2 linked regions of the Danio rerio genome follow. The protein of the gene in region 2 purifies or fractionates together with the protein of the main gene of each other region. This does not show direct contact. Links are inferred from orthologs where the notes say so. Each region holds a gene or a part of one and is shown on either strand. Other genes may lie near its edges. The genes, in order: insig1 and rnf139.

Region 1 (10,870 bases), on a different chromosome or scaffold from region 2:
AATGACGCTGATGGTAGTAATGAATGCCAGGGGGAATCTTTTGGCTATTCAGAGGTGTTGTTCATGGCACATTGGGCCAGCTCAGACCAACCCGCTCTTTCTTTTCTTTTATAGTTATAAAGAGGAGCAAAATTAAAAGCAGAAGATACGCTTGGATAGACACCAGGGACGCCCAGTATAGAATATCAGATGTCCTTTTTTGGCACTCTTCGAAGCTCACTTCATGCCCTCTGACACCTGTTTAGTCATTATGAATCTTCTCAGTCGAGCCCTGTGGAAGAAGACAGACAGTCTGTTAGGTGAAAATACAGTATATTCACAACCAAATAGATACAACTGAAAAACAGCTCAATTTGCATTAAGTCCCTAATTTCCATAAAATATAGGAATGGGCATAAACTACACCAGCGTACAATACAACCAAAAAGCAGCATTAATATGCAGAAACTATCCTGACTATATTATTATGTATTAGTCAGAGCACTTGGCTGACTTTCAAACTACCTAAATATGTTCCAGCATGTTCCCAGGTGTGCTTTTAAAAATGTGCTTTGAGCAACTCAAAATTGGTTTTCATGAAGCTGAGCCTGATCCCGTTAAACCCACTTGGCCTCTCAACACTGTGGCCATAATTAGTATGCACTATATATAAGAAATGGGCTTTGTATATGTTAGGATTATATGTGGATGGGCAGCCTTGTAAAATTTGATAGCCCCTCGTAGGTCAGCACTGTCTGCCATGCCTCACCCAAGGGCAGCTGAATCCGTCTTTAGGAAAGCTAATGTTGAAATAAAAATGACAACGTTTCATATACAGGCAATGTTCTCTAAATGATTCCAGTGCACCTACAGTACACAACGAAATGACGATGATAAAAAGGTAAAGGTGTTAATGGTGTAAACTAGATATCGAACTATTTAATTAGTCAGATGTTAAACCAAACTATGTAGAGTGACCATAATTGATGATCATAGTTGTATTCTAAAATACAGCCATTATTTACATGAAAAGATTAACAAACGCAAACGTCCGGGTTTACTAGATTTATTTACCTCTAGTTTTTTTAATCAACTCTATCTCTTAACTGGCCCCTCCATAAAGAAAGCTGGGAAAAATACTAGCAGAGCACTAATCCCAATTGGTCAAGCAAAATCAGCCGATGCCAGCTCGAAAACAAAAAGCATCCAGTAACAACGTGTAGAATGCACCACTTGGAGCCAGTAAAGCACTTTGTTTACCATCTCTCTGACCATTAGCATGAAAAACAAGGAGCGTAATCTTCTTTCACGCCCTTATTGAGAAAGAACTAGGGTATGTCAGCAAGACAAAGAGCCACAGCTGACTGAGAAGGCTTGGAGGGGATGGCACAAACAAGCTAATTAAGATGTCCAAGCATGACGTTTCTGCTCAGGCGCTAGAGGGTGTCAAAAGAACACTAAAATGGTAAACTGGTTGCTTTAAAGAAATACATTGGATACTGAAAATAGTTTATACATATTTAAGAGAATGCACAAAAATCCTAAATCCTAGTTTTCATTTATTTAAGGCAGATTTAAAACTTAGTTAGCTTATTTTTATAAGTATAAATGAATATTACAATACAAACTGCCTGCCACTTTTCAGCTACCTAGTTTGTTCACATCTAGATAGTTTTACCTTCATCAAATACAATAACCCAAGCCATCTTTACACTTCCTTTTGCTAATGTTAAACTTGATTCCCAACCTAATTGGAATCAGTTTATGAAAGCCACAAGTCCTGTTTTAATGACTGTCTTTTAATGTCATTTAGAAAATAATCCTGTCTGAACAGAGCTTACGGCTGCATGCTAAATTGTACACATTGAAATTGTTGAGTTAAATATTCTGGCTCCAAGTTTGATTTACTTCCTAAAACACGCAGGCTGGATACAAGTAGAAGAGGAACAGCTGAATAGCTGATGAGCCAAGATATTGAGTTTCACTTTTGCTTTAGCTAAAGCTAAGTTTCATTTCTGCCATTTATTTATTTTAAGCTAAACAAAAGTGGCCATTGGCTTTGTGCATAACACAAGAGGAAACTAACCACAATACATGAGTAATCAAGTACATCAGTTATTCTGTGGAATATGAAAGACTGGAAAAGGGGGCTGGTATGAGGGGCAGTTTCTTACCATAGCTAGTTGTCTGCCAATATTTCCAACAGTCACTCCGCCAGAGAAGAATATACAAGGCAGCCATGAACGGACATACAAGAAGTCTGGAGAAGTATACCTGGTAACAAATGAAGAAAAGGACTGAAATGACGAGCTGCTTAAAGGAAAAACAAAACTGAGTGTTTGCACTTGATATAATATTTGCTAATGTTTCTTACAAAAAAAACATGTTCTACGACTAAAATTATGAATATGTGAGAGTGTTAGTTACTTGCTAGTTGATATGAAAACAGTTTTCTGTTGCTGTTTGTCAACATGTTTGAGTCATAACTTACTGGTAGATGCCGTTGTAGACCAGCAGCTGAGCAATGAGAGTGGCCAGCAGGGCAGTGGTCAGCCCTAAACCAAAGCCACTCCTGGAGCGGTCAAATGTCCACCACAGACCCAGAGACAGGGCAGCCAGAGTTAGCGATAGCTGCACATTGTTAGCAAAGTCCAGTTTCTGTAAGGTACTTTGAGTTAAGCAAAATATTCTTATGTTAACATACATTTTGAAAACATTGTGATGTTAACTCAAGAATTGAGTTTGTGCAGGTTCCCAAGTTTTTGCTGGTCCACACATTTGGAGAGCAGTAAACAGGTTCCACAAAAACTTTGTAGTCAAATTTATTAAAAACTTTTTTTTTTAGTTCTTAAAAAACCCAGTTCTCATTTACATGGGGTTTCTTGGCAATGAAGTGCATGTTACTGTTTGAGTTCAGAGTTAATGTAAAGTTTTAAGGTATATTTACATGACAACAAAAAATAAAAACTTTTATGCATTTTTGCTGTTCATTTACCCAAAAACACAGACTCAGAGTCGTCAAAACAAAACTTAAAAAAGGTTAAATGATATCGTGTGCAGAGTTTTCAACTTCTGGCCGGGTCAGAGTACTGAGCATTTCTAGTCATTTTTCAGCGTTATTACAACTATCCTCAATACATAAGACTTTTTAAAAATATTAGATAAGCATAATTCTCGTTGCATAGATTATTGCTGTGTAAATATGTTTAGTACTTTAACGGGTCACCCCACTTTTTTAGTTTAGCCTTTGATGTATAATTTGTCAAGATAAATTCAGGTTCAGACAAAAACAAATAAATATGTGACAGTTAAGAGATTAAGAAAAAAAAGGATTTGTCTAATGCTATTGAATAGTAACATGGCTTATTACAGACTTAAAACAAAAATCTCAAAAAGGTTTGGAAGTTTTCATTGTCCACAATGGTTGCAACTGTAAAAGTGTCACTGTTAAGGATACAGCACTGGCGTGATTGATGCCCACAAAGACAGCAATGCAGCGCATCACGCTTGCCCACTCCCGCTTGAACTTGTGTGGTTCTCCAAGATGGTGGTCCAAGCAGGGGTACAACAGACCAACCACAGCTGAGAAGAGAAAACAGAAAGTACTTTAAACAACATTCATTGAAAGGGGGAAAAAAGAAGAAGAAAAAAACATTTTTTACATCTGCTTGGTATTGTTTGACGCCTTTTAGTATATAAATAATGGGTGATGACTTTTGTGTTTAAATAAATCTCATAAGAAGAGTTCAAGTACAACAAAACTCTTTAAAAGGCATTTTCTACTGAAAAGGATGTAAACTGATACGCGTCCACATCACCACTATGAGGAATGCAGGGGGAGGAGTCGAGCGTGACCGAATTATTTATTAATTTCTGCTGCACACGACTTCCGTGTTTCTCTTTTCGGGTAAGTGGCATGTTCGGCGTACCAGCCAATGGCGTGCCTCTCTCGCAGCTCACCCGTTCTGAGCGCAGCCAATGAGAATGCAGCACCCCAAGAATGACCCCAAATGCCCGGCTGTTACCAGGGCAGCGCTTACTGATAGCTACAAAGCCCAATGTCAACAAAACTGTCCCCGAATCACTCATCTTACATAAAAGACACGATAACAAAAAGCCCTCAGCAAGCACACCGTCTTTGTTTGTTATCGTCACGAACAAAGCATTCGAGCCCAAGTGTTTCAGACAGACTCACCAGCAGCGGTGCCACAGCAGAGGGGAATCCACCAGGCGGACGAAAATAGCGTGTCCAGCACTTCCTCTGGAAACAATGTAACGTTTCTCTGGATCTGTAGCAAGTTTAACACCAAAGCGAGCACAACTCCCACGATAAACAACACAAGCCCCCGTCGAATTAAATTGGCGGACTGGAGGCTGTGCAGAGAGCCGTACGCGTGGCTCAGCACTGAGGTTATGATGGACATCATTTCACCCGTTTTACAGACAATCCAGCCGGCGCTTGACAGGTCCTTCGTCTTCACACTGGTCGAACAGGAGCAGCTCCAACAATGTTCCTCTAGTCTTGGCATTTGGCACTGTTGGAAAACAGTAATACTCATTAATAATTATCACTAACTTGATCAAATAAAATAATGTTGAAAGTCAAGTATTACGCTACAAAAAGCAGTGCTGTAGCCCAAAAAACAATCTGTTCCCAATGAGTATGAAGTGGAAGTAAAGGGAATGAATAGGCTACCCACCTTGATCTTTTAGCGATGTCTTCGTCTAAAGCAGAACACGTCTGTGCTTTCAAAACTCTTTTACAAAAACGAAAGGCTACCTACAAATAGTTTAGATGTGTTGTTTGATCACATCATCTGTAAGAGAAATACTGCTGCCTCTTTTCATCCCTCAGTTGAACACTGCCACACGCGCGCTTCCTCTGCAGAAAACAAGCGCGGTCATGTCTGGTGAGTCTCTCTAGCCAATCAGAGTGCGGCGGGCCATATGACGCGAACGCGCGCCACCCCTCTCTGACAGACACGCGCTGTTGATGTTCGCCATCAGCTGTTCGCCTTGTGTGTGTGTGTGTGTGTGTGTGTGTGCGTGTGCGTGTGTGCGTGTGCGTGTGTGCGTGTGCGTGTGTGTGTGTGTGTGTGTGTGTGTGTGTGTGTGTGTGTGTGTGTGTGTGTGTGTGTGTGTGTGTGTGTTGACGCTATGCCAGAGTCATGCAGAAAAGTCTTAAACTTCTAGATTGGTTAAGTTTAATGACCTTGCTTTGCTAAATCCTTTTCAGTAACTAAGCAATACAGCACTGATTCGAGATTTTCTCAGTGTTCAATATTGCTGTTCTCCTGTTTGCACAAAACAAACTACTTGTTGGGTAAATGTATTTGTAATCTTTTCAGGGTACAGACAAGAAAGCTTTTTGCTGATATGAACTTTTTTTTAGTTCACTATGAGTGAACAGGCCCTGAAAGTGTATGAGATAATGCGGATTTGTTGGCTATACGTGACAGCGTGCAGTACGTGTCCGTGAGACTGAAAACAAGAAATCAGGTCATGATGCTCAGTGGGCTGTTCCCCCACTGTAAATAAACTTGTGTACTTATAGTTTATTGATTCAGAGCAGAACAGAGTTCAGTCTCTTACCTCAGTGGAACCACTCCTCACCAGATAAATGAGTCTGATGTTTGCCCCTTGTCAAGAATGACTGTCAACAACTCTTTAGCTGCTGTTTTTACAATAAAGGTTCCAAAATGGGCTTTTCGTTGCAGTGCTAGAAAATAACCATTTTTGATATCTAAAAAGCTTTTGTGTTGATGAAAGTTCAGAAAAGAAGCATTATTTTATTGGTGTGAAAGACATCCTAAACACATTAATGAACCTTTTTTCAACAGAGAAACTTATGTGCAATGGAAACGTGCTGTGGATGTTAACGAGTCACGAAACACCAAAACACATTTTTTTGAGATGTTGACAATCATAAATATGACTCACGTTGCTAAAACACTATTAGGACACATATATTTCACAAAAAAGTGAAAATTGGTGGGTTTTGCAATATTTGAGCCAATTCATTCTTCAGATTTAAAAAGAAATTTTGAAGCTGCGTTACGGCCATGAGATCATAGTGTAAATTCCAGCATGGAGACTGGATGTCTGAACCGGTACAACATGATGTCTGAGTTTTCAGCATAAATTCATTACAAAGACTTGGTTCGAACCAATCAGCGCGCTCTACTGTGAATGAGGTGCAACTTCATTAATATGCATGATATAGTTCAAAGACGGTTTTTACCTGTTACAGTGCCCAGATGACCAACCATAATTAAAACAAGTAGTAGAAGAAGAATTGTTTGGAGATATGGATCGTCAGTGTTTTTTTTACCAGATGAGCTTTTCACATCTGGAAATGGTGAAATCCAGATTTGCCGCTTTCCTTCTTTTAAAAAAAACGCGGTTCTAGTTGATGTTGATTGTCCTGTCTAGTTTTGGTAAGCGATCAGTGTTCTTTGTTTATGTTAATTAAGATGGCAAACTGCGATATCAAATTATATTAAAACAACACTCTTCCAGCTGTTAATCTCATCCAATATCTTGTTTGTCACAGGGGGCATGAATGAAATGTTCCTGAATGAAAGTGAAAGAGTCAAACTGTAGTTGAAGTCAACAAATTAAAAATGAAACACCCGAAATTACATCAAATTACATTACTCCGGAGGAAATGTGGAAATGTGGATAGCGTGATGACGTTATAATCGAATTTTGTGCTATAACATGTAAAACAGGATCATGAAAGGAACATTCAAAAAGCTACTCATAAACACCTTAATCATAATATTGCCATATTCAGAAATAATTTGATTACTGATTTCCATGTAAACGTGTCTATCTCCACTCCATTAGCTTCTGCTCTGGAAAGACGCTTCTTTGGAAATCACAATATTCTTAATAATCGGCTAATAAAGTAAAGCGCTGAAGTGAAACCCTTTTCTCTAATACTCTGTTTCAGCTGGAATTATGTCATAATACTGAAGTCTGTTTAAGACCTAAGGTTCCTGCAGACTATAAGTACGCACATGTTGGAATGTTCAAAAGCAGTCTGAGAGTTTTGCAAATAAATTGGGAGTAAAATATCTGTTACAACTTTCAGTGATTTTTATAAGTTTAAAACTTTTTTAAAACAGCATGTTTGGAATTAAGACAGTAAAATGCTATCCAATTCTTAACCACTATATTCACCACGACTGTATCGTGTCAGTAAACATAATGTGTGTGTGTGTGTGTGTGTGTGTGTGTACTGCAAACAGCATTTGTGTGAGATTCATAATTTCAGGAAGGCTTGAAAAAACTCCACCACAAATACATGAAATAAACTTGGTATTTTTGATGAATAACTGTATTTCAGCTTTATTCAAGTCTGTCTCTGTCGCTGTGCTGTTTATCTGACATACCGCATGATCAGAAGCAGACACACACATGGGAAGGTGGGCAGAGAGAAGAAGCTCATTTGCATTTAAAGCCACAGGCTACAAAAACAGCTACACTGTATTTAGACACCAAAAATGGGCAAATTCTGGAGGCTTTAAAGGGCCATGAACCCCCCCACTTACGGTTTAAGTCTACCTCAGAAATTTAAAAAAAAGCATCATAATGGGTGTGGAGCTCCTTGAGCAGAGGCAGGAGTGGGTGTGGCCAGCAGAGCAGGGGAGAAGGAGGGGAACTGTTGTCAGTTGGCAACACAAAATGAGACACAAACCTTGAGGAGATCCATGATTTTAAGGTTTCCAAAGTTAAAATGCAAAGAAATAAACAGTAATATAATGCCCTGCTACATTTGTTTTTTTTTTGATGATCAACAAATCTTTAAAAACCTCAACAACAAAAAAAAAGTGCTCGAGGGTTTCCTGAACCTTTAATAAATAATCAGATGGGTATTTTGAGCTGAAACTTTACAGACACATTTTGGAGACACCAAAGGCTTGTCTTACATCTTGTGAAGGGTGTAAAATAGGTGCCCTTTAAAAACTAAAATTTAGGAAGATCAACATCATGCCTCTTATATTGTGCGACTAAAGTCTTAATTATTAGACATGTTTATTATTTACGGTTTGGCATCCAGCAGTAAAAAAATCCTCAGTACAATTGAGTATTTTTATTAACAAGTTTGCAGTGGAGCAGGGGGTAGTATGTTCACCTCATAACAAGAAGGTCGCTGGTTCCAGCCTCAGCTGGGTCACTTGGCATTTCTGTGTGGAGTTTGCATGTTTCCCTGTGTTCGCGTGAGTTTTCTCTGGATGCTCCGTTTTATCCCACAAGTCCAAAGTCATTTAGTACAGGTGAATTGGGTAAGCTAAAATTGACCGTAGTGTCTGAGTGTGTGTGAATGAATGAGTGTGTATGGAAGTTTCCCAGTGATGGGTTGTGGCTGGAAGTGCATCTGCTGCATAAAACATGCTGGATAAGTTGGTGGTTCATTCCACTCTAGCGACCTCAGATTAATAAAGGGATTAAGTCGAAAAGAAATTGAATGAATGAATGAATAAAAAGGTTTGTTGCAACGAGTCTTGAATTGGTCATAGTCTCAGTCATTGTGGGGTTTAAAATTAGGCTGATAGTTTGTGTGACCAGCACTTAGCCTAAGAATGTATGTAGCACACAGGTGTCAATTCTAGTTCCTGGAGGGCCAGAGCTCTGCACAGTTTAGTTTCAACCCTATTTAAACACACCTAATCAAACTAATTAAGTTCTTTAGGCTTGTTTGAGACCTACAGGTAAGTGGGTTGAGGCAGGGTTGGAACTAAACTGTAAAGAGCTAAGGCCCTCCAGGAATTCGAATTGACACCTGTGATGTAGCACATGAAAAATATGTTACCCGTCACAGTTTTAAAGTTTATACCTTTAAAAAAAAACAATTATGAGTAAAATCAAAAACACAAACACCTTCTCAAGGTCAATGACAAAGCCCATTCTGATTATTTTTTTACTTCTTTTTAAATATAAACCTTGGCCATGTTTGGATCCAGAGGCTGTCATTGTTGTAGTAAAAACCTATTGATTATTATTGTGAGTGGTGAAATATTGAAACAACTGACGCAGTTGACGGTAGTATCCTCTACATCTATAGGCTTAAAGGCAGCATGCTCAACATGTCTTATCGTTCATGTGAGGACGTGATTGCATAACTGTGCTAACATGATCATAGATACGCAGGTACAAAAACAACATATACATAGCGGATATGTACATAACAGTTGTGTTGACTGTTAATCAAGCACAAGCAGTATCTCTGGCCTTAACCCAGATACGTGTCTCATATACTGTGCTACAATGGCAGGTACTGAGGATCCATTCTTTGATCCCTGTTAAATGCCGGATCTAATTAAATTTTTCCATTCAGTTTGGTTTCTTTTTCTAAAGCTTTTCTCAATACACATTGTTCCAAAGCAGCTTTACAAAGAATAGTGCCAAAGGCAGCAGCAGTTGAAAAAACTCTGTACAATCTTATGCATATACGGAAGTGAGAAACCTTCTGAGACTGGGGAAGTCTTTGTCCCAGGACTGGCTTATACTTAAATAAATCCATGACAAATTACACATACAAATATCTGCTTCATCAATCATATTATCCTGCAATCGTTTATATTGCCCAAGAGTAAAATAAGCACATTTATATTGTTGAGCTGGGAGATTAACATAAATCCATTGTTAACTTACTTCACATTATCTGGGTGAAAGTACCAAAACTCACAGCTTTGGAAGAAAATCCTTTTAGCTACTGGCTGAAGTGAATCATTGTTCACAATTATATTGTTTTACTGAGGGTAGACTCTGTCTGTTCCAATCCTCAAGAAAACACGAGAAGAAAAAGTTTGCTGTGTGATCAAGAGATTTTCTTTATATATATATATATATATATATATATATATATATATATATATATATATATATATATATATATATATATATATATATATATATATATATATATATATATATATATATATACAGTATAACTATATACAAAACGAGAAACGAGAAAGGCCAGGCTACAATTATACATATGACATTACATACACAGTGGTGACTCAAAGTGCTTTACATAATAAATTCAATAAAAGAGACAAGAAAATAAAAACAAATAATAAAATTAATTAAAAACAGATTGAACAAGTGTTAAAACAGATTATGAAGGAATGAAAGAAAAAGACATAATAGAGTGGTCTGTCTGACGTAGCACAAAGCTTATTCAGTAAAGGCATGGCTAAACAGATGTGTTTTAAGTCTTGATTTGAACTTGCCTAATGTTGGAGCACATCAGATCATTTCTGAAAGCTGATTCCAGCAGCGAGGGGCATAGTAGCTGAAGGTCGATTCACCCTGCTTTGACTGAACCGTTAGAATTTCTTGTTTATATGATCCTAAAGATCTGAGTGATCTGTTAGGTTTGTATTCAGTGATCATATCTGTATTGTATTGAGGTCCTAGGCCATTTAGTGATTTGTAGAACAGTAATAATACTTTAAAATCTATTCTGAAAGTAACCGGGAGCCAGTGTAAAGACCGGAGGACAGGTGTGATGTGCTCTGATTTTTTGGTTCTGGTCAGAATCCCTGCAGCAGCGTTCTATGAGCTGCAACTGTCTGACTGTCTTTTTGGGAAGGCCAGTGAGCAGGCCGTTACAGTAATCCACCCTGCTACTGATAAAAGCATGAACAAGTTTCTCTACATCTTTACTGGAAACAAAGCATTACATTCTTGCAATGTTTTTTCGAGATGATAGTATGCTGATTTAAATACTGCTTTGACATGACAACTGAAACTCAGATCTGACTCCAAAATCAAAAAATAAAGATAACTGACCTTATTTTTTGTTGTTCGACCCCAAGAGCCAAGCTGCACATTCACTCTGAGAACCTCATCTCTGTCCTCAAAAACAATAACTTCA
Region 2 (9,466 bases):
CTTCAAGTTTTCCTGTTGTTTTCTAATTGTTTCCTCAGTGTTTGCCTATTGTTTGTTCAGTTTTTCCTCAGTGTTTCCACAGTATTTCCTCTAGTTTTCCTCAGTGTTTCCTTGGTATTTCCTCAGTGTTTGCTCAATGTTTTCTCAGTGATTTCCCAGTGTTTCCTCTTGTGTTTCAGGTGCACTCGTTCGACGGCTCTCAGCAGGACGCGGCGGCTCTTCTTGATCTGGATCTCTACATTGGTATTAACGGCTGGTGAGTGCAGCGTCTCTGAAGGATCTTCATCTCCGGGTTTGTTCATCACTGGCGGGTTTTCCTCCTGTGTTTCAGCTCCTTAAAGACAGCAGAGAATCTGGAGGTGATGAAGTCCATCCCGTCTGACAGACTGATGATCGAAACAGGTGCAGAGGCTCTCATTATTCGTTTATCTGCATCATTCCATGTGATATTCCAATATGTGCATAACATAAGTGTCTGGAGGCAGAGTGAGTGAGTGAGTGTGTGTGTGTGTGTGTTGATTTCCTCTGCAGACGCTCCGTGGTGCGGCATTAAAAACACTCACGCTGGAGCCAAACTGATCAAGACCAGCTTCCCCACCAAGAAGAAGTGGGAGACGGGACACTGTGTGAAGGACAGGAACGAGCCCTGCCACATCATGTGTGTGAGAGACAGAGAGTGTGTGTGTGTGTGTGTGTCCTGCTGAAGACTGTGTGTTTGTATGAGCAAGAATCCTGCTGAAGTGTTTGTGTTCATGCATGTTTAGCTGCACACTCAAATGCTTGTGTGTGTGCGTGTGCGTGTGCGTGTGTGTGTGTGTGTGTGTGTGTTTCAGACAGGTGCTGGAGGTGATGGCCGCTGTCAGGGAGGAGGATCCACTGGATCTCGCTGAAACCATCTTCAACAACACCGACACACTGTTCTTCAAGAACCGCTCATGAGGAAACACTGGCTGTGTATCACACACACACACACACACACCAATAGACATATCTTCAGTAGGACTCTCCCATAACCCCACACACACACACACTCAATAAAAGAAAATATGACAACACACACATGTTCTGTCGTGGCTTATTATCATCATACACCCAAACTATGATGTGTTTATTAACAGAAAAGAAGATGAAGTATAAATAAAACTGAAATATTACATTCATTTGAAGTATTAATATTACTAATTGTAATTAATAAATGCATAACTAAAATTGAAGATAAAGGCACATATATTCTTCAAATAAAATAATGTAAATCGTATTAATATGAAAATAAAAACACATGCAATTTAAAGATGAAATATTCTATTAATGACACTGCACTACAGGCTATGTAGGCCCACTGCTTTATTATTAAACCAGTTAGTTAATATTCATGAGTTGCTCATTAACATAACTGGAACGGTCACGTTTAAAATAAAACATTACAGAAGAACAGATGATTCTACACTACAGAAGTTTGTATTAGGGTTATTAAGAGCATGAGGATTCATACGCAGCTATACTTTATATTAAAGCATTGTATTTTAAACTGAATTATATTAATTAAACACGTATGGAATAAAAGAAGTTTCTTGAATTGAAATATTTTAAAATAGTTTTTTGTCATTGTACAAACAATAATTACAAACACAAAGCACAATTTATCTGAACTACAAACTGAGACATTTTAACTCTTAAAGAAGCTTTGAATAATACTAAAGCCGGGCGCCGGTGCTGTAGTGTAGTATTCTGTAGTCTGCGCATGCGCTCTGCCACTTCCGCGTTCCTCACATAGCAACAGCAGCAGAGCCAAAATGGCGACCGGTGGAGATCCTGCCTGACATCGAACCGAGTCCTGACACCGAGAGCCGCGGTTCCCGGACACCGGCATCAGCGCCATGGCCTCCGCTCACGGGCGGCTGGGTCAGCACTTCCTTGCCGTGCTGGATGTGGTTCTGCGGGTCCCGAGCATCTTTATAATCGACGCCATATTGAACTCGTACTCTGATCCCGGTACCGGATGGAGCGGCGCCGCCGGGAGAGCCCTGATCCGCGCGCTGGGTGAGTGCGGGATTCCATACCGGTGTTAAATCTGCTCTTTTAGGCTTTCTGCTTATCAGCTTATAGCGCTGAAAACACCGGGCCTCAAAACACCACCGACTGACGGACTGACTGACAGCTCGAGCCGCGCGCGTGTTGAGGAAACGGAAACCTGACAGATTCATGCACTGCTGTAGAGCTGACCCTCCACTACACACACACACTCACAATTATATATACTATACACAACATATCAACAATGACACTGCTCATTCAGACAACACATACACAACATCCAAACTACATATCACAACTCAACACACACAGATGACCAGACATACACAGCATATAGACAACATAACAACACTGACACTGCTCAACACACTAACATACACAGATGACGAGAGGTGTACTAAAACATTCAGACAACATATAGACAACATATCAACACTATCAGAGCTCAACACACTAATACACAAAGACGAGAGATGATCTGAAATGTTCAGACAACTAGAGATGTACCGATTCCCCCGACTCACGATTCATAATACAATTTATTTACAAGATAATCTAAAGTAAATTTAAGGTGACGCGTCCTTCATTCTGTTCTTAAACGCAGACATTTTTTGCAAAACGATATATTTTCTGGCATAACTAAATTGCTATTAAAAACAGAATAATATAAACTACTGAAGACTAATAAACTACTAACCCTAATGCAAATACACCAGCTCACACAGTAGCTGATTGCTGACTAATTTCATTGGCTGACGCTGCTATGACGATCGCGTCAGACACTTCAGACACGCCCTCTGTCAAGGGTTGATGCTGAAGCCCATGTGAATCGAGCATATATGGTGCAGATTATGGATGCTGAATGATGTATTGTGCAGCTCTACTGTATCCGTGCTGATTCTCAGTGTTCTGCTGTCTGTCCTGCAGGTATTGTGGTGTCCGGTGTGGTTCTGGTGCTTTCCCAGAAGTCCCTGTTCAAGTTCTACACGCTCTTCATGGCTGTTCTGCTGGGCGCGGCGTCAGTGCTGGTCAACTACTACGCCACGGCACACGCCGACTTCTACAGCGCATACAACAGTGCTGCAGTGCTGCCGCGGGACGGGCCGACGCTCTGGCTAGCGTTAGCGCTGATGCAGCTGCTGCTGGGGTTGGGCTATGTGGCGCTGCTGCGCGTGCGGTCGGTGTGCGCTGCTCTCCTGCTGCTGGACATCATGGCGCCGCTGTGGGGGCTGATACTGGAGCTGCCGGCCGACATGAAGCAGGTGCTAGCGATAGCATCAGGAGTGATCTTAGCAACACACGCCGCGCTAAACCTGCTGCTGAAGCTGAAGTGGTTCTACTACTCCTGCCGCTACGTCTACCTGCTGCTGCGCCACATGTACCGCATCTACGGCCTGCAGCTGCTGCTGGAGGACACCTGGAAGCGCATCCGCTTCCCTGACATCCTGCGCGTGTTCTGGCTAACCCGCGTGACCGCGCAGGCCGTCATCCTGCTGTACGTGGTGCGCGTGGTGCGCTCTGAAAGCGGCATGCAGCTCGGATGGGACGTGTTGTGGGATTTGTCCAGTAATCTGATCATTAGCGGCTGCGACTCGACGCTAACTGTCCTCGGGATGAGCGCAGTCATATCATCTCTAGCGCATTACTTGGGTCTTAGCATCCTAGCGTTCATCGGCTCCACAGAGGAGGAGGATAAGCGGCTGGGGTTTGTTGCGCCCGTGCTGTTCTTCATCCTGGCGCTGCAGACGGGTCTAAGCGGCCTGGACCCCGAGGAGCGGCTGGTGCGGCTCAGCAGGAACATGTGCCTTCTGCTAACGGCGATTCTGCATTTCATCCACGGGATGACGGATCCGGTGCTCATGTCTCTCAGCGCGTCGCACGTGTCGTCAGTGCGCAGACATGTGCCGGTTCTGCTCGTGTCGCTAGTTCTGTTTACGCTGCCGGTCCTGCTCAGTTTCCTGCTGTGGCATCATTACGCGCTCAACACGTGGCTGTTCGCCGTCACGGCGTTCTGCATCGAGCTGTGTCTGAAGGTTCTGGTGTCGCTCACGGTATACGCGCTGTTCATGATGGACGGGTTCTACAATGTGCTGTGGGAGAAGCTGGACGATTACGTCTACTACGTGCGCTCTACTGGCAACGTGATTGAGTTCATATTCGGCGTGATCATGTTCGGAAACGGGGCGTACACGATGATGTTTGAGTCGGGGAGTAAGATCCGCGCGTGCATGATGTGCCTTCATGCGTATTTTAACATTTACCTGCAAGCCAAAAACGGCTGGAAAACGTTCATTAACCGGCGCACGGCTGTCAAGAAGATCAACTCTCTGCCGGAGGTGCGAGGCTCGCGGCTGCGGGACATCGAGGACGTCTGCGCCATCTGCTATCAGGAGTTCGGCTCGTCGGCGCGCATCACGCCCTGCAGCCATTACTTCCACGCGCTCTGCCTGCGCAAGTGGCTGTACATCCAGGACACGTGCCCCATGTGCCACCAGCGCGTCTACATCGAGGACGACACCAGCGAGCGCTCCACCTTCTCTAATAATAACGGATACGGGGCAGCAGGACAGGAGAGGGCGGAGTTTGAGGAGAATGAGGGTGGAGCTGAGGACGGCGTGGCTGCGGCAGGGGCGGAGCCTGAGAACGAGCTGCTGGAGGATAATGACAGTATTGAGTATGACGAGGAGGAGTGGGGAACGCAGCCCGGCGTCACGCTCATCGAGGAGGACTACATTAATGACGACACAGACTCCAACTGAACCAGCGGGGATATTTAAGATCAGGGACGTTGTGTATTTTTTAGATCTGTGGCCAGAAATTGTTCGAGAAATCCATTCTGCATTGATCCTGAGATTTTTGAATTGCGTCGCTTTTTTCGCTTGAATTAATTCTGAGCCTAGTTTACAACAGTAGATGGCGCTCTAGGCTAGTTTACAGCAGCAGATGGCACTCTAGGCTATTTTATAAAAGCAGATGGTGCTCTAGGCTGTTTTAAAACAGCAGATGGTGCTCTAGGCTGTTTTAAAACAGCAGATGGCGCTCTAGGCTGTTTTAAAACAGCAGATGGCGCTTTAGGCTAGTTTACAACAGTAGATGGTGCACTAGGCTATTTTATAAAAGCAGATGGTGCTCTAGGCTGTTTTAAAACAGCAGATGGCGCTGTAGGCTGTTTTAAAACAGCAGATGGCGCTCTAGGCTGTTTTAAAACAGCAGATGGCGCTCTAGGCTAGTTTACAACTGCAGATGGTGCTCTAGGCTAGTTTACAACAGCAGATGGTGCTCTAGGCTAGTTTACAACAGCAGATGGTGCTCTAGGCTAGTTTTAATAGAGCAGATGGAGCTCTAGGCTGTTTTAAAACAGCAGATGGCGCTCTAAGCTAGTTTACAACTGCAGATGCCGCTCTAGGCTAGTTTACAACAGCAGATGGTGCTCTAGGCTAGTTTTAATAGAGCAGATGGAGCTCTAGGCTAGTTTTGAACATCAGCAGGGTGCTGTCTGCAGTAAAAAACGAGCCTAGAGCATGTGTTACTTTTAAAAAAAACTAGCCTAGAGCGCGATCTGCTTTATTAATACTAGCTTTGAGTGCCATCTGCTGTTAAACACTAGCCTACAACAGCATTAGCTGGTGTAATATAGCCTAAAACACCATAGAGCAGATGTTGCTCTAGGCTAGTTTCTAACAGCAGATGGTGCTCTAGGCTAGTTTCTAACAGCAGATGGCTCTCTAGGCTGTTTTTATTAGTGCACATGGCGCTCTAGGCTAGTTTTGAACATCAAATAAGACGGTACCTGCAGTTAAAAACTAGCCTAGAGCATGTTTTACTTTTTTAAAACACTTGCCTAGGGCGCTATCTGCTGTTAAAAACTAGCATAGAGTTCCATCTGCTGTTAAACACTAACCTACAACGCCATCTACTGGTGTAATATAGCCTAAAACACCATAGAGCAGGTGGCGCTCTAGGCTAGTTTCTAACAGCAGATGGCGCTCTAGACTAGTTTTTACCAGCAGCAGATGGCGCTCTAGGCTAGATTCTAACAGCAGGTAGCGTTCTAGGCTAGATTCTAACAGCAGATGGCACTCTAGACTAGTTTTTTACCAGCAGCAGATGGCGCTCTAGGCTAGTTTCTACCAGCAGATGGCGCTCTAGGCTAGTTTCTAACAGCAGATGGCGCCCTAAGCTTGCTTTTAACATCAAGTGGGGCGTTATCTGCTGTTAAAAACTAGCCTAGAGCACCATTTGCTATTAAACACTAGCCTGCAACGCCATCTACAAGTGTAATATAGCCTTAAACACCATCTGGTGTTAAACACTAGCCTAGAGCGCCATCTGCTGTTTAAACTTAGCCTAGAGTCCTTATGCAATTAAAAACTAGCCTAGAGCGCCATCTGCTGTTAAAAGACTAGCCTAGAGCATCAACCCCTAGTAAAAACAAGCCTAAAGCGCCATCTGCTGGTAAAAACTAGCCTCGCAATCCTGAATAGTAATGTATTTTGAGAGGCTCCATGTCAATACAGAATCGTTTTCTCCAATGATTTCTCGACCACAGTTCTAGTATTTTCGTTGTGTTCGTATTAAAAGGGCTGATCATGTGTTTTTCCTGGAGCGCTCTTGCCGATGTTTGGCTGAAGGAGTGAACGCTGAAGAGTGACGCGCTACTGTAATGGCAGTATACCTCCGTATGATCACTACTGGTCTCTTGTGTGACCTCTCGTATAATTGTGTACATTATTGTACATGTAATAAAAGAATGATACACTGACGTAAGACTGCAGAAAGCTGAATCAGCTGTTCATCTCAGCTCCGCCGCTCTCTTCTCACACGCTGTTGCTTTCTGAACACAACTTACAATGCAAATAACAACACATTTCACCATAAACAGAGTACAGCGGTTGGCTTTTCTGATTAAATTCACGATTAAAATGTTTGATTTCAGGTTTAAATGTTGATTTGCCAAGAGGACTGATGTACAGCAATGATCAGCTTTAGTTCTTTTGTAAATAAAAGTTAATTGAGCTGAAGTTCAAGAGGAATCTGGAACTTTGCACTTGATTATATTTTTTTGAATGCTCCTGTTTGTGTTTGTTTTCTCTCAGGTTTTATTTTAATTGATTATATATATATATAACATTTGTTTTAACATTTCAGTTAAATTTAGTATTTAATCTAAATAATGATATTAAAGAAAAAAATATGCCGTCATATTTGACATATTATAAAACTCTATTTAAAGGTCACAGTTTGACTGAAAATACTCATTATTAATTATTAGTATGATTCAAATCAGTAGCATTTACACACCATCATAAAGTCAAACATAATCACGTTTAATTGATTCTGTGACATATTTTAATAGGCAGAGTTCAGAATATGTGTGTGGTTTAATTTTATCCTATACCTTCGTTAAATGAAGGACAAAGATCATCAATCTGCCCATATTTTGACATTTATTTATAACTAAATTTATTTAAAACATTAAAGCTGTCAAGTTATTAAAGGATTTAATAGATGTTATGTGTATATAAATCAATTTTGCACATTTAATATGATTGACACCATTAATGTGATGTCTTTTCTTTGACCCATAGAGTTTTATTTCTTTAATTAATGTTAAATAATGTGCACTTTCATTCAAATGTATTAAAAATGTATTATTTATATTTAAAAAATCATACATTTATTATCAGTTATACTTTATAATGAGTAAAAGGTGCACAAATTAGCTTGTAAAACATGAATGAATGTAAAGATAAATGCAGTATAAACACTATGTAGTGAATGAGGTTATATTTGATGTCTGACCTATGAATTTTAATATTTAAACTATTAATCTTTGTGTATTTTATTTTAATGGTTCATTTCTCCAAATTAGTAACAGTTTTATCCCACTTTTTGAACTAAAGTACAATTTAAGACAGAATATGTTGTGAAAATGTTGTATTGTGCATTAATAGTTACCTATATTATTTTAGTCTATGATATTTAGTCGTAATAAATATATCGTTTTCTGTTTAAAATATATGTTTAATATAATCTTCAGTTGATTTGTTGTATATCCGCGCTCATTTCATCATAGGAAACTAGAGAAGGTGAATCTGAGCTTCAACTTTGACCTTTAGGTGTTGTTTTTCTGCTCATCAGCAAGACTAAACTACATTTCCCATAGCGCTTCCGTCTCTCGGAACTACACTTCCCATCATGCAACAGCAGCGCGATCTTGAGCGTCAGAGGAGCCCGTGGAAAGTCAGTCAGTCAGTCATATAAATGAATCATAATAACGCTGGAATAAGCGCATAACGGCCGCGTGTTTTACTGTAAATAGTAACGGCAAATGGACGCGGTTTGCTGAGGCGCGTCTGGTGTGAGTGTGTGACGGTAACGGTGTTGTGAGGCGCGGGTTGGGTCGCTCGGTGAGGCCGGTGTGTGTGTGTGAATGACGGGAGTGTCTGTGATCATGATCTAACGTTAGAATAGTCGGTGTTTTTCTCTGCTCGTGTGTGTTTCTCGCGCTCTGATGATCCGCTCGGTGTTGCTGCGCGCGCTCGCGGCTCGCCCGCCGTCCGCTCCGGTTCCCGGTCACCTGCACAGATGTTTGCTCGGGACTCACCGGCGGAAAATTAAACCCGAACAGCTGGAGTTACCGAACCAGACGCGGGAGTTCGTGTACAGCCTGAGCCCGGAGACCCGGAGCCGCCTCCTGAAGGAGCTGCAGACCTTCGAGTCCAAGACGGAAGGTAAATTAACGGGCATAGATTACTATGGTAAAGCCCTGAAGTGATGTAAAGTTAGGATTATATAACAAAGTGACGACTTGTGACACGCTACCCATATTGTTCACCATGCTAACGTTACTCTGAATATTGGGATGATGTGAATTAGCACGCAAGTATGACTTTAAAACAGCTTTAGCACTATTTAAAGTCCACATGAAATCAAAACTAACCATTATGGATTCTGTTAGCTCACACTGCCAACAACTCATCTGTGCAGGTCATTAAGAAAAACAAAATAGTTTGCCCTTCTAATCTTTAATTGAAGTCTGAACATGCTCTTCTGTTTGTTTTATGTTAAATTCTCAGAATACCTCTGTATTGGGCGTGGTTAACATACTTAACCACGCCCCTTAAACTGTCAACAATCAGAAATGGTGAAGAGGAGGAGGAGTCTGTTAGGTTGGAATAGCTCTTAACCCTTTTCCCCATATTTCTAAATAAAAGGCCTGCTTTATTACATCCAATCAGCTTGCAGTACAAAAAACAAACCACGCCCACTGTTGTCTTATTCAATATTCTATTTGTCAAACTGTGCTTCAATACAAAAATAAAAACAAACAGTTGCAGCATCCGGACTTTAAAGTTCCCGCGAAGTGTTTTTGCAATTTTTAGTTACTGTTTGACATAATCTCAACTGAAATATAAATATAATAGCCCCT

Evidence for each region.
Region 1: the proteins of rnf139 (region 2) and insig1 purify together in Homo sapiens (affinity purification with western blotting, with the first as the bait; 3 studies listed by BioGRID). This does not show direct contact. The link is inferred for Danio rerio from reciprocal best matches to the Homo sapiens genes RNF139 and INSIG1.

The regions. Positions count from the first base shown.
Region 1 is NC_133182.1:41,357,934-41,368,803, forward strand, and holds the start of insig1 (insulin-induced gene 1 protein), read right to left. Parts: upstream 4,839-10,870; 5' UTR 4,680-4,838; intron 4,515-4,679; 5' UTR 4,509-4,514; coding exon 4,175-4,508; intron 3,562-4,174; coding exon 3,437-3,561; intron 2,822-3,436; exon of another isoform or gene 2,638-2,821; coding exon 2,471-2,637; exon of another isoform or gene 2,254-2,470; coding exon 2,154-2,253; intron 272-2,153; coding exon 242-271; 3' UTR 1-241. UniProt on the Homo sapiens protein: Oxysterol-binding protein that mediates feedback control of cholesterol synthesis by controlling both endoplasmic reticulum to Golgi transport of SCAP and degradation of HMGCR.
Region 2 is NC_133194.1:331,848-341,313, forward strand, and holds rnf139 (E3 ubiquitin-protein ligase RNF139), read left to right. Parts: upstream 1-1,797; 5' UTR 1,798-1,877; coding exon 1,878-2,040; intron 2,041-2,961; coding exon 2,962-4,793; 3' UTR 4,794-4,928; exon of another isoform or gene 4,929-6,417; 3' UTR 6,418-7,071; downstream 7,072-9,466. Other genes in the region: deoxyribonuclease TATDN1, read left to right, coding at 180-256, 332-402, 532-658, 834-939; tmem65 (transmembrane protein 65), read left to right, coding at 8,549-8,768. UniProt on the Homo sapiens protein: E3-ubiquitin ligase; acts as a negative regulator of cell proliferation through mechanisms involving G2/M arrest and cell death.